Oryzias latipes: one gene and its partner. The protein of the gene in region 2 interacts with the protein of the main gene of each other region in a biochemical or structural test. Links are inferred from orthologs where the notes say so. Each region holds a gene or a part of one and is shown on either strand. Other genes may lie near its edges.

The links. The genes of interacting proteins can lie anywhere in the genome.
Region 1: the proteins of ncoa6 (region 2) and rxra form a complex in vitro, tested with the Homo sapiens proteins (5 studies listed by BioGRID). The link is inferred for Oryzias latipes from reciprocal best matches to the Homo sapiens genes NCOA6 and RXRA.

Annotation. Positions count from the first base shown.
Region 1 is NC_019870.2:23,012,110-23,018,795, reverse strand, and holds part of rxra (retinoic acid receptor RXR-alpha), read right to left. Parts: intron 4,279-6,686; coding exon 4,187-4,278; intron 2,086-4,186; coding exon 1,980-2,085; intron 1,756-1,979; coding exon 1,608-1,755; 3' UTR 1-1,607. UniProt on the Homo sapiens protein: Receptor for retinoic acid that acts as a transcription factor.
Region 2 is NC_019865.2:14,776,889-14,783,574, reverse strand, and holds part of ncoa6 (nuclear receptor coactivator 6), read right to left. Parts: intron 6,677-6,686; coding exon 6,521-6,676; intron 6,432-6,520; coding exon 6,309-6,431; intron 6,110-6,308; coding exon 5,990-6,109; intron 5,872-5,989; coding exon 5,047-5,871; intron 4,929-5,046; coding exon 4,797-4,928; intron 3,255-4,796; coding exon 1,970-3,254; intron 1,883-1,969; coding exon 1,764-1,882; intron 1,617-1,763; coding exon 1,210-1,616; intron 1,112-1,209; coding exon 878-1,111; intron 773-877; coding exon 1-772. UniProt on the Homo sapiens protein: Nuclear receptor coactivator that directly binds nuclear receptors and stimulates the transcriptional activities in a hormone-dependent fashion. Coactivates expression in an agonist- and AF2-dependent manner.

The DNA of each region.
Region 1 (6,686 bases), on a different chromosome or scaffold from region 2:
ATAGTGAAGATAGCTTCTTTAAATAATAGTTCACATGAAATTTTGTTGTTGATTCTTCATGGAGCCACTTTCAGTTTATGTTGTGAAAACTGGTTATGTATTCATGAAAACACAAATAAGCTCCACATGCTCCTCAGAAATGTGAATTTCGGAGGAAACAATGGTGCTTCCGTTTGTCTTGTTACTCTTTATTTTTTTAAGATGAGTTAAGGTGCAAGATGGAAATCCATTTTTAGTACTTTTATCATCGTAGTCCTGCCAAGAAATCTAATGATAGGCTCTTCCAAAAAGAGCTATTCCTCAATAGATGCTTGTCATTTTGGGGTGAAAGAACCAGAACAGATTGACCTTTAACTCTTTGAACAATGCCGACGCCCACCTCACACATTTACATACGTCTGTGGACGATCTTTGGAAATGCACTCCATGCATAGTCTTAAGCTGCAACGTTTTGAGAAAAACAGAGTAAAAAAACATGGGCGTCTAGCACATTTATACAGAACATGGAGATATCTGACTCTGCAGTTCAGATCGAATGACACTTGGGTCGTCTGTAGAAGTGCCAAGTCGTCTCCTCTGCCGTCAGGTTAAGTGCCGAGTAGCAAACAAAAAGACAAACAAACAAAAGAGTGACTCTGCTGCAGCAGACAAGCGCTTCTCCCATAGAGGGGATGCTAAAGGTTTGGACACAGAGGTAAATGTTACAGTGAAAACTAAAAACAAACAAACATCCTGTATACACTTGTAACTTTCCGTACAGGTAGATATGAGGTGATTTTTGGATTTCTGAATGTGCAGTCTGGTGTGTTCACAGGAAATGAGAAGAACCGATATTAAGGATCACTTTTCAGACAACTAAATGCGCTGCACAGAAAACGGTTCGGACAAAAGTAGTCCCTGTGCCTGCCGCTGTAGCGTAAAGCCAGTGGAGCAGCATGCAGAGCCGCATGGATTGTACATTGCAGACGATTCTCCGTCAGTTATTAAGGGTTAGTTAGTGGACTACTCAGACATCCTTGCACAGTGCTGATACAGTAAGACATAGTTGGATTTGCTGGGCGGAGACCTGAGCTTTGTGAGCATTTGCAGTCTCGTTAGACCACCTCTGACCCTTCAGCAGTGGTCGGTCGGTCGGAGCGTGTGTCTCCTCCCGAAAACCAGGGCCCACTAAGGTCCGAGTCAAAACATCCCGTGGAGAGTCTAGGATTGTCCTCGTCAAAAGTGACATCATTCAGGTGAGCATACCTGCCGGTTTTACTGCTTTTTCTTGTCAGGCTGGTAGCAGAGATGGAAAACAAAGGCTCAATACGGCTGCTTGTCCACCACCTGTCCTCCTCCTAGTCCTTTGATGTCATTCTGATGTCATTCTTGTTGCTGTTTGGATTTGACCTATTTTCATTATATATATTTCTTATTTATAGCTTTTTTTACAAAGTATAAAACAAACCCTTTAGCGTGATGCAGTTTAGGTTTTGAGACCCATCCAAGAGCGGTAGAGGGGATGGAGATAGAGGGTGGGTCTCCATCCACAGTCTTTATGTCTGTCCCTTGATGAAGACTTAAAAAGGGGGGTGAAGGGGACAGGAAGAGAGCAGGGCTGTCGGTTATTATGTCATTTGATGCGGTGCTTCGAGCATCTCCATGAGGAAGGTGTCAATGGGCGTGTCCCCGATAAGCTTAAAGAAGAACAAGTGCTCCAGACACTTGAGGCCGATGGAGCGCAGCGCCGGTAACCGCAGCAACAGTTTGGCAAACCTGACGAACACAAAACAGAGACACCGTGATTGACGCAGACCCTGCAACAACTCTGAGTTTTCATCTGTTTGAGATTATTCTATTGCAAAAAAAAGGAGGTAGTATCATATTTAGTGATTTTTGTGACTCAAGATTGAAGGGGCTTCTTAGGAAATAAGTAGCAGACTCTTAAACCCTGCAACCCACCGCAGAGACCTCTGCAGTGGCGTTTGGGATCATCTCACCTGCCCGGCTGCTCAGGGTACTTTTGTTTGCAGTAGGCCTCTAAGGATGCGTAGACTTTCTCTCTCAAGGCTTCTACTTCACCAGGGTTAGAAAGACCTTTAGAGTCTGCAGAGACACAGAAACGGAAATAAGAGTCACCAAAGTGGGTAAAACTTAGGCTGAATCTTTTCTTAGAGAATCTATATTGATCCATCAAATCCACAATCTACAATATTTGCTGTTAATTTTATTGAAAGATTTCAAAATGTAAAAAAAAATTAATGCAGCCCACCCAATTGTTTTAGAGCATTTTGTATGCTTTGTTTTAAACAGCGCAGTTGACCTGTCAATCAGTCTCCTCCATGCAGTGTCTCCTGTACAGAATACTTACCAAATCTACACACATTTTCCATCAAACTGATCTTTGCTTTCATTCAATAACTGGACTTATTTTCAATGAAAGTTTGAACTTTGAGAGTTTAAACAGGGCAGAGAATTTTAAAAATGTTCATGTCTGTCTGAGAAAAGTCTATAGTGAGGGGTTTTACAGCCGTAAAACATCTATATTCCTTCATCATGGATTTCAGAACGTTACTCCCAAGATAAACGAGGGAACTTTGTAGTGCAATTCTTCTCTTATTTGAATCAAATCCAAAATGAGGTTACAAAAAAGCCATGCCGATCTTCAATGGGAATTCTGTAAGAACCCTGAAAACATCCTCCATCCCGCTGAACTCCAAGATGTTTGACCAACATTTAAAAAAAGAAAAAACGTTTCCATCTTTTTTGCAAGGACTCATTTTTAAAAACCGTGTTTTAGTATCAGTGTCTTGCAATTTGTACAGCTTCTCATTTTAAAAGTAAGAAAGACATCAATTATTAATGTATTTAGATATGTTTAAAAGAGGGATAACTGCATGACAGATATATATTTAGGTTAGAAAAATAATACCAAAATGACTACATTATTTGTCATGTATATTCTTTTACTAATGACCTACAAACAAGCGTGAATATTAAAAAGAAAACTAAAAGACAGCTGCAACACTCATTTTTTTATTTGGTAAATAAAAGCTTTAATGAATTTATTTTTTTGTGCCCCACAACGTTGGGGGGAGGGAGGGGGGGTTACAGCTCACTCATTGAGTTTTAACCTCACAGCTCTACATGAACATATGTCACCGCATTCTGGGTTACCTCAATTAAGGCTGTGCTAATTTAAGCTTCAGTGAAGGACGCGCCTTTGATTCACAAAACAAACACATCATTTATTAACATTTCTGATGAACAAAGCCTTGTGCGATCGACCAGCAATTATTGAACATTTGCTCTTAATGGCTGGACTAGATCCGCCAGTGTGGGAAAGGAAGGACTGAGGGCCCTTTTAGCCTCACTGGCACCTCCTCTCCTCCACACCCCAACCCCTCTGCTCCCCCAGTCAGACCAGTCTCGCAAACCGCTAATTAAGGAGGATCCGGATGGAAAAGTGAACCGGAGGCCAATGGGCCTGCATGTGGCCTGGACAGTATGTGCAGTTTAGAAGATTGGGGTGTGCGTGTGTGTGTGTGTGTGTGTGTGTGTGTGTGTGTGTGTGTGTGTGTGGAGGGGGTGTTAAGCATATCTGCAAAGGCCTCACGAAGCTCTCACTCAAAGGGTGTTTATCTTATTTTCTAAATTCATGGTTGAATCTTTGCAGGGAGATTTTTTTCACGGCACTAAAATGAGTCTTGGGTTTTGATAAGAGCAGAGTTAAGGAGAGCCTCCACTCCAACAGCTGCAGAAAAACAGGAGGTAAAGGTGGGTTTGACACCTGGGATCACTCAGGGAGGAGGAAAGAGGGTGTAGCGTTCTCCACTTTTTTCTCTCTAAAAGAGTAAACTTGCACCTATTTCTATTTTTCTTATCTTTAGTCTTGCTCGCCATTTTTGTTGCATCGGTAATGTTAGGCTGGGGGTGTGAGGGGCTGTAAGCTAGCAGGAAAGGGTTTCAACAAATGGGTGACGGGAAATGAGGACGGCTTACTTTGCACTAACAGCCCAGCCCACAACTCAGAGACAAACTACTACTGTCCAACTACTATCGCTCTGCAGAAACTATGTCCTAGAAAGCAACAGTTTTTTGGATTTTGGCTAAAAATGACAATATCATAATGAAAAAACCACTGGGAAAGCTTTTAGCGATGATCAGACTGGGACTATATACAAATCTTCCATACGAACACAGTTACCTGGGTTGAAAAGAACAATGGCTCGAAGGCACCCCAGTTCTGTCTTGTCCATCTGCATGTCCCTCATCTTTGACACCAGCTCTGTCAGAACTCTGCAAAAGACATCAAAAAGAAAGAAAGAAAAAGTCAGATGTGGGGTTCATTAAAATTCAACACTCGGCTATCGTGTCATGTCAAACATCCAGCGTGAAAAGCTATGACCACAGGAAGCCATTTGACCTTAAGTGGTAGACTTTGCTGGAGAGTTTTCTGGAGTTACCTAAAAGGGTCCAATCTGAGCTGCAGGAGAAGCTTGCATCCATTTTAGCCCTAAGTAGTCTAAGAACAATCACATCAACTGTGTAGAATAATATAGGAATGATGCCCAGCCACACATTAGTACAGTTTCATTCCAAATTGAACATGAAGGTTTATTAAAGTTTTTAGCTTTGACATTTTTGGTTTAAAACAAACATAACTAGATTTCTGAAACATCATTGTGACACCCTTTGAATAAATCCTTAGAACATTGAATCAGAGTCAGAATCAGAATCAGAATCGGAAAGCCTTTATTGTCATTGTTACACAAGAAACTTGTGACAACGAAATTTCCGGTGCTCTCCAGCTGCTTAAACAATAAAAATAGGTAATCTTCTAAAGAATTATAAAATTCTGTTTAACTGAAAATATACATATGTACAAGCTACATAACTTTTACTGGCGGTGGTATTTAAAATCGGCGTAGCAAAAATCCAAAAGTAAATAAAATACAAACAATAGAACAAAAAGCCATGCTGGAGAGCTGAGAGCCGCTGCACTCGCGCGCGCCGCCGCTAGCTATTTGGTTTTTAGACATTTTTCACATTGTTTTGAATTTGTCTTTGATTTTTTTCTTTAAAAGAAATGTTTTCATTTTGTTTCTACAAGTTTGATCTTTGTTATAACATTAAAAACTGTTTGATCTCATTTTTTTGTGATTTTTCCAATTAAAAAGCCAAAATTTACTACGGTATTTTCCGCACAATAAAATGCCCTTAAAAGTCTGAATTTTTTTCAATAATTGACAGTGTGCCGTATAATCCAGAGCGCCTTATATATGGATTATTTCTGGTTGTGCTGTTGCAAGCAAGGCTGGGTGTTATTGTGAATAAACTACCGTAGCTAACATGTAGCAGCGTCAAACTGTTTTTTTTACGTGTTACTAGGAAGGTGGGAGTTGACATTGTCACACTAATGTTAGTTTAGGGCTGTCAGTCTGTTTTTTTAGGTGTTGCAAGCAAGGTACTGTGAATACGCTAATGCGGCAAATGTCTCTAATTCAAAAATAGACTTTTTTGAATATAATTTATTATTACTCTTTTTTTGGAAATGAAGGATGGAGCTCAGTAGCTGACAGTTTGTATGGCATCACTGGTGGGTGTGTCTCTCAAACTGCTCCCCCTTCTATGACTGCATCTTAGTCCGTTTCTTTCTTGCCCTCCCGTTTGGAGTCTCAGGTCAATTGCTGCTCTTAATTCAGCACAATTCAATTTGCTCCAAACCAAAAGAGCAACAAGGAAAAAAAAGGGAAGACAGAAGTGGTGACTGGAGTGTGTGAGTTCATTAGTTTCTTCATTTGGATGGGCAAAAGAGAGACGGTAGTAGGTAATGAAGCCTAATCACTACCCTGAATCCTCATCTCTGCCACACTGAGTGAAAAGATAGCATAGGTCTTGTAAATGCTAGTTACCGGGCAGATCAAAGGGTTCCAGCTCTGCTCTCAAACACATCAAAGTTTTACTTTTGTACGATAAAGCAAACACCTCAGAAATCTTTTTCTTTTTTGTTTGCTTGTTTTATTTTGGACTTCTTTTTCCATTGTTTTGGCAATGACTGTAGGAGCTTGGCTCAGTTTTCTTTTGGAAATTTCGACGTTCTTGGCAGAACCGTTTGGGTTGGATTGGGAATGCCTGGCCATAATCAGAGATCCTTAATTGTTCAGTTCAATTCTGGGTCACTTCAGCATTTTCACACAACTCTCCAGAGGTTATGGCAGCGATTTTGTGGTTTTACTATATAAGATAAAATGTTAAGAACTGAATGCGTTGGTTTTGGGTCAACTCTTCAGACTCACCAGCCCGCATCATGATGCTTCCATTATCATGTTTGAGTAAAAAAAATAAAAGTAAAACCTTTTTCTTATTTAAGAAGCCAGCCAGGTATCTTAATGAAGAAAAAAAATTAGCTGATTTTTTTTATTAACTTAAAATTTTAAAAACAATTATAAACACAAAAATATGTATCATTTTCTATTTGATAATGACCAACATCAACTCCTAAAAAAACTTCAGCAGAGATTTCTCTACTGAAAGATCATGTCACATCAATTCTTTTTTCATGTGTTGCTCAACATTTGAAATTATTGTGTCTTAAAAAAAGGCATATGCATTTTTTGGTAAAGATTTTACAGAAAGTATATCAGTAACTTCCAAAACATTCCATCTTGAATCCGCTCAGACTGATGATGCTGAGGAGAGTACGT
Region 2 (6,686 bases):
TTGGTGTGGCTGATTTGCGACTAGAGGCTGGACTTGACCGCCGACTATTGCTAGGACTTGCCCTCTTACTTTGCCCTCCAGACACTTTTTCCTGTTTAGTACCTGAAACTCCTACACCAGAGGACAAAGACTGCTGATTATTAGTGTTATTTCCACCAGAGCTGCCGTTGCCGTTGTTTCCTGTTAAAGTCAAGGTGGGTGGAGCCTGTCCAATGGCTTTGAGAGTTGTTGGGTTCAGCCCTTGCTGATCAAATCCCCTGTTAAGGTTTGGCTGCCTTGGAGGCAGAGGAATGTTAATTTTTGGAGGAAACAGTCCAGCAATTGAAGCATTTAGTCTCTCAGGTGAAAGATTAATTTCAGAAGGTTCAGTGCTCGGTGGACGGTTTGATGGAGTGAGGGGATGGTGGTAAGGTCTGGGGCTGGCTCTGTTCGGAGTTTTAGGCCTTGAACTCTGTGAAGTTGTAGGAACATTGGGGAAATGATGGCCAGGCATGTGCCCTGCTTGTTGAGGCAGCGTGGGTAGTTGCTGTTGGGGACTGGATCCTGTGTGTTGAGGCATTTGTGTTGAACCAGGCCCTTGTTTTATCATGTGTGTGTTCGAGACCTGGCTGGTTGGAATTTGTTGGGACCCATTTCCTGGCTGTAAACCAATTTCTGAGCCCCCTTGTCTGTCTTGTTTTGAGTGGGCACCTACAGAAGCCTCCTCAGATCCAGAGCTTTGAGCCCCCGGCCCTAAATCAGGGTGGGACATTCTTCGTGCAGCCCCTGCAAGCTAGAAATTTAAGGAAATATAATCTGCGTTAAAATTTCCTCCAAGAGAATCAGAGGATGGGATGGGAATATGAAAATGATGGTACTACTAAAAATCACCCCTTACCTGTGGGTTTACCATCAGAGGCATCCCTCTGGGTTTATCAGGGGATGGTGGTACACTGCCATGACCTTGCAGGCTTATCATTACAGGCATGCTGCTTTGCTGTGAACTGGGATGCCTTTGAATGTCTGCAGGATTGCCCATTCCTCGAGGAGGAAGCTGTCCTCCAGTGGAGATGGGCATGCGATTTTTTGATTGCTCCTGTTGCATTTTTATCAGCATCATCTGCTGCTGTTGCTTGATAAGAAATTAAGATTAAAGTTTAGTCGGGTGGTTAAAGTGCGTCCTGAATTAAAAGAAACAATCTAGGATAAAATACCAAATCAAAAGTCTACCTGCTGTTGTAGGTGTGGCTGCTGAGATTGCTGCTGCTGCTGCAGCTGATGCGGGTGCATCTGGGGTTGACCTTGACCTGATGCTTGTGGCCCTGTCATCATCTGTGATCCTTGAGCATTCTGGAGCCCCTGCATCTGCATCATCGGCTGCTGTTGCTGCAATTGTTGTTGCTGTATTTGCTGCTGCTGCTGTTGTTGTTGTTGTTGCTGCTGCTGTTGTTGTTGTTGCTGTTGCATTTGCTGCTGTTGTTGTTGCAATTGCTGCTGTTGTTGTGCAATTTGATGCTGTATTTGCATGTGCTGCATCTGTTGTTGTTGTTGTTGTTGTTGCTGCTGCTGTTGTTGTTGTATAAACTGCATGGGGGCTTGTTGCAGTACCCTCTGCTCTCCAGGTTGACCAGGGAACCCTTGGAAGTATAAAACAGATCAGTGATATAAATTATGATAAATGTACAATTTTTAGAACAAAAGAGCATTTGCATTTTAGTATATTGGTTGTTTTAACAACAAAACAAGGAAATGAACTAAGTTTAGTGTTTTGTTAGTTTGACTACCTGGAGGTCTATTAGCAAAATCAGGAAGCTTCTGGCCAGCGTTGTCCAAACCCAAACCTTGGTCCACACCCAGATTAGGCAATTCAGAATCTTCCATACCAGCAGCAGCATCAAGACCTCTATAAGGATAAAATAAAAGTTTATTTGGTTAAATAAAGAATATGCTGTTGACACAGGACCTGATGAAAGAAGAAAACATGTTTTACCCAAGCCCCTCTACTTGTTGTTGTCCATCCCCCTCTTTGGGTTTTTTCTTGCGTGGTGGTTTCTTCTTTTTAGGTTTAGCTGGATTTCCTCCACCAGCACCTTGCTTTCCTCCTGGTCCAAACTGGCTGGCAGATATGTCACTTTGCAGCAGGTTGACCAGCAGTGGGCTAGTCAGTGTAACATCTTTATTGACGGGAAAACTACCTTGCTGTCCACATGCCCCTCCAATTGGCATCTGACCTGAGAACTGAGAGTTGAAATTCATGCCATGACCAGCAAAGTGGCCATTTCCCATCTGCATATGCTGAGGGCCACCCATCATGCCTTGCTGCTGCTGCGCCTGCATGTCTGGGACCATTTGCTGGACTCCCAAGTCACCTGTGCCACTATTTGGGTCCCCAATGGTATGTTGGTGTTGCTGAGCTGCTTGTTGCTGTTGTTGCAACATTGCCTGTTGCTGTTTCTGCTGTTGTTGCTGCTGCAGCTGCTGCTGCTGTTGTAGCTGCTGTTGGATGAGATGATGGCCAGCAGGTAGTCTCATCTGCTGCCCATGCAGACCCATAGTTTGATTAGGATTATTAGGGATGGGAGCCTGCTGTGGCTGTTGTTGTTGACTGATCTGCTGATGGTGTTGCTGTTGTTGTAGCTGATGTTGTTGCAACTGGTGCTGTTGTTGCTGTAACTGTTGCTGTTGTAGTTGAGCCATCTGTTGTTGTTGCTGTGGAGTCATCTGCTGTGGGGGCACCTGTCCCTGGAACTGCCCCATGTTACCAGGAATATTTGCGGATGGGCCTCGCATCATCTGGCCCGGCATAACCCCAGCTGGAATCTTGCCTCCGAATGCCTGCTTGTTTCCTTGCATCTGGTTGGCAACCATTTGTTCCATCATCAAGTTTTGCTGCTGCTGTTGCAGGAGCATGGCCTGGTGCCCCTGGCCTCCAACCATCTGACCCTGCCCATGCATCACCCCCTGGCCTTGCTGTGGCATCATTTGCTTAGGTGGGGTCATTCCACCTCTCGGGCCTTGATTGATAGGCCTTGAAAGGACAGTCTGACCTCCACCTTGACCTTGTACCATCTGGCTGGGGGAGGAGGACACAGGCTGGGCCTGATGCTGGAGGCCCATCATCTGGGTCTGGAGGCCAGGTTGCTGCTGACCCATACTAGGTCCAGCAGTTGTGCATGGGGTTGGACCTGCCATGCTGCTTTGCACACCCATGGCATTGGGTTGAACATGAGGTGGTCCCTGCATTGAGCTGGGAGTGGAAGGTGATGGTTGAGGCCCTGATGTAAAATACAAAGGATAGCATAAATGGTTGCATATATCATGGTGTTAATTCTGAAATTATAAATAGTTCTCAACAAAAACATATAAAGCTAATAAAAAGGGGTTTGCTAATAAAAGAAAAAAATAGACTACTATAATTATTGAAGACTGGTGTATTTAAGAAAAATGGATCCCAAGTGACACACAGAGACAAGCTTCAATTCATTTGTTAAAGACTTACTCAAATAAAATATTGTGTTTTTGGTGTTTAATGCATTTGCTTTTGACCTTTTTCTCATGATGGAGGCCATATATAAAAAAGAAAATTAATCTCAAAAATGCATTTCTGGGTATCTTTTTTCAAACTGTTGTAAATGAGGAGCAGACCAAAAAACTGCTGTTTGATTACGAGCTTATTGTGACATAGAAGCTCCTATTGGCAGGTCACAAGTTCCCTGCTCCTCTCCATTCTGATGCATCTACTTATAAACCACAGATCCATGTACGTCTTCATTTTCCTTGTCTGAACTGGCATCTGGCTCTAAACTGTACGGCTGGATGGCTCCAATATTGCTCGTCATTTTTGTTGCACAAGTACTGTCAGGTTAGGGATGTAAGGGGCTGTAAGGTAGTGGGAGAGCGTGGTAAACAGATGGGTGACGGGAAGTGGGAGGGCGTTTGCTCTGCACCAACAGTCCCACCCACAACTCTGAGGCAAACTTCTAATTAACTAGTGCTGCTCTGCAGACACTATGTTCAAGAAAACAACACAGGTTTTTTGAAAATCGTAATTAAAATATCACTGGGAACACTTTTACAATGGCTCTAAATATGAGTGGGGCTTTAGGATTCCAGCTTTTGAATGTAGACTTCTTCGATTGATTTAAAATCCTTGTTTTCCCCTTTTTCTTCTATTTTCTGTTGAGAACTCTTACTTTGCTCCAACTCATTAGATGAACCAAGTGTTTAGCTTAACATTAACGTGTCTTTTGTTAAATAGAAAACCTGTAATCTTAAATAAACTTAATGTGACACTGACATACCAGATAAACATTTTAAAATGAGTGAAGTTAAAGAAAAAACAAGAACGAGCCTTTCAGTGTGAAGGCTAAAGCTATTAATAGCAAATTAAGTGTTGACAAAGCATAATTAAGAATGAATTGGAATGAGCTGCAACTGCCGCATCGCTTCAAACTAGGTAATTATTTAAGGCATCAAACATGGTAGACAACATGCTCAATTGTGCAACATGATGTTGCAAAATGGGAATTGTTGCATGAAGTGTGTTGTACCATTTGATGTGCTACAGCACAGAAAACGAAGTGAAGTAAGTGAAAATGTGATACAAATGTGATGCCATGTCAAATTCTCTAACCAGTCTGAGCTATTCTGATAGTAATTCCCATTCTGGGTTGATCGAAACTTCCCTATGAGAATTCCACCCTCAGTTTCTGAGCAGACAGCATTTAAGCCACTACCTGCAGCAAGTAAAGTCAGATACTTTCTACATCATAAAACAAGCATTTTTCTTTTTGTTTAGAGATCTGTAGAAGTTTTACCTGCTTGAGACATTGCTTGGTTGGTCTGCAGTTGCTGAGTTGCTCCTCCACCAGGAGCTCCTGGAGTGCTAACACTCACCTGACCTTGAACAAAGTTAGATGTTGGAAAACCCATGGGACGCTTTGCCATGCCTAGAATTGATGATTACAATGGTCATTTTGGATAAAGATGATCAAGAAAAAGTGAACTTCTTTGACAGGTTGTTTTTTTTTCCATTGGAACAACAAAATACTAACCAGAGTTACTAACCTGGGTGAATTTGGCCCCCCGGTTGTCCATGCTGGGGCATTCCAATGAATCCTTGCTGCATGTTGCCCTGTTGGCTGAGGGCTGCTCTTCCTGGTGAACCAACACCCTGAGGAAAACCCTGTGGAGTTGTGGGTCTCTGAGCCATCATAGGAGGAGTACCTGGAGAGCCCTGCTGAAAAGGAGATGAAGACGATCCAGGCGACTTAGCTGCGAGGTTGCCCTGTGGTCCAGAAGTTTGTGGAAGGGGTGGAGGGGGGCGAGTTAGTCCTGTGACACCACCAGGTCCAGCCTGTTGGCCTTTAGGCTGAGGGGCAGCAAACTGGCCCATTCCCGGTTGATGTTGTTGCTGTAACTGTCCCTGTCCCATGGCATTGAACACCTGCCCAGCCTGCTGGCTGCCAAACGGATAAGGGGGTGGAGGATGACTGGGGGTCTGTACAGTAGCTAGGGAGGGTGGCCTTTGAACCATCTGGGGCTGAGGTGGGTGTTTTCTCCAAGCTGGACCTCCTTGGGCTGCTGGTGGTGGTAAGATGCCAGAGGGCAGCTGATTCCAGTTAGGAGGTGCAGCCATCTGACCCGAAGGATTGAATGGAGGTCGAGGTCCAAGCTGGGAGAGTTGAGCTTGCTGCTGGGCTTGCTGCTGCTGTAGTTGCTGCAATGCAGCAGGGTTGATTTGTCTGCCTGCCTGCAGAGCTTGCATGTGATGGGCAGCTTGAGGAGGCATAGAGACTGAGCCATGGAGACCAGCCTGCTGGTGCTGAAAATGTTGCTGCTGCTGCTGCTGTTGCTGGATGGACATACCTGGCATCATTGGATCCATCACATCTATGGAATAAGGAAGACTAGACTTTTATGACATTATCACCAAGTCATCATACAGATCATATATATATATAGACATCAATGTGCCTCATTTAAGAAAAATAAAAACCTAAACCTGAACCTGTTTGTGAAGGTGGTCTTTGGATGCGAGGATGCATCTGTCCACTGCCTGGTAACATATTCTGACCAACCATGCCAGGTCCAGTAGGAACCATTGATGGATTAGGCATCCTTAACCCTCCTGGTCAAAAGGAGCACACAAAAAACAAAGTTTTTATTTTTACTTTTGTAACAACTTGATATTAAGGGTTGAAGACAGTCATGAATCAGTAACAACTAAACTAGATTAATTGTACATACAGCTGTTTACAATCACAGGAAATACTGTCAAAATGATGCCTTTAGAAGTCATTTGGGAGGTTAGTTCAGCAAATCCATACCTGGTCCAGGCTGGCCTGGAAAGCCACTGTCCATTCTCATTTGACCAGGTGCAACCATTGGTCCATTCACTCTAACTTCTGCACCTCTATTTGGTCCCACGGCCACATTGATGGCACCTTCCCCTAAAATTAATGACACGGAAAAAAATCCAGCACAATTATGATTGAGGTTTAATTAAAAAATATATAATTTTCATAAAAAAGATTGTTACCCTCTATCTGCACAGAGAGAATCCCCAAGTCTCGAAGCTGCTGCTGATTGTTTTGTGCCAGCAGTCGGAGTCGTTCTGCAGCATCCCGAGGAATGTTGAAGGTAACACGCACACTGTTCCACGGCTCCACATGCTGTGGCTGCAGTGTTTCTGAGCCTACAAATGG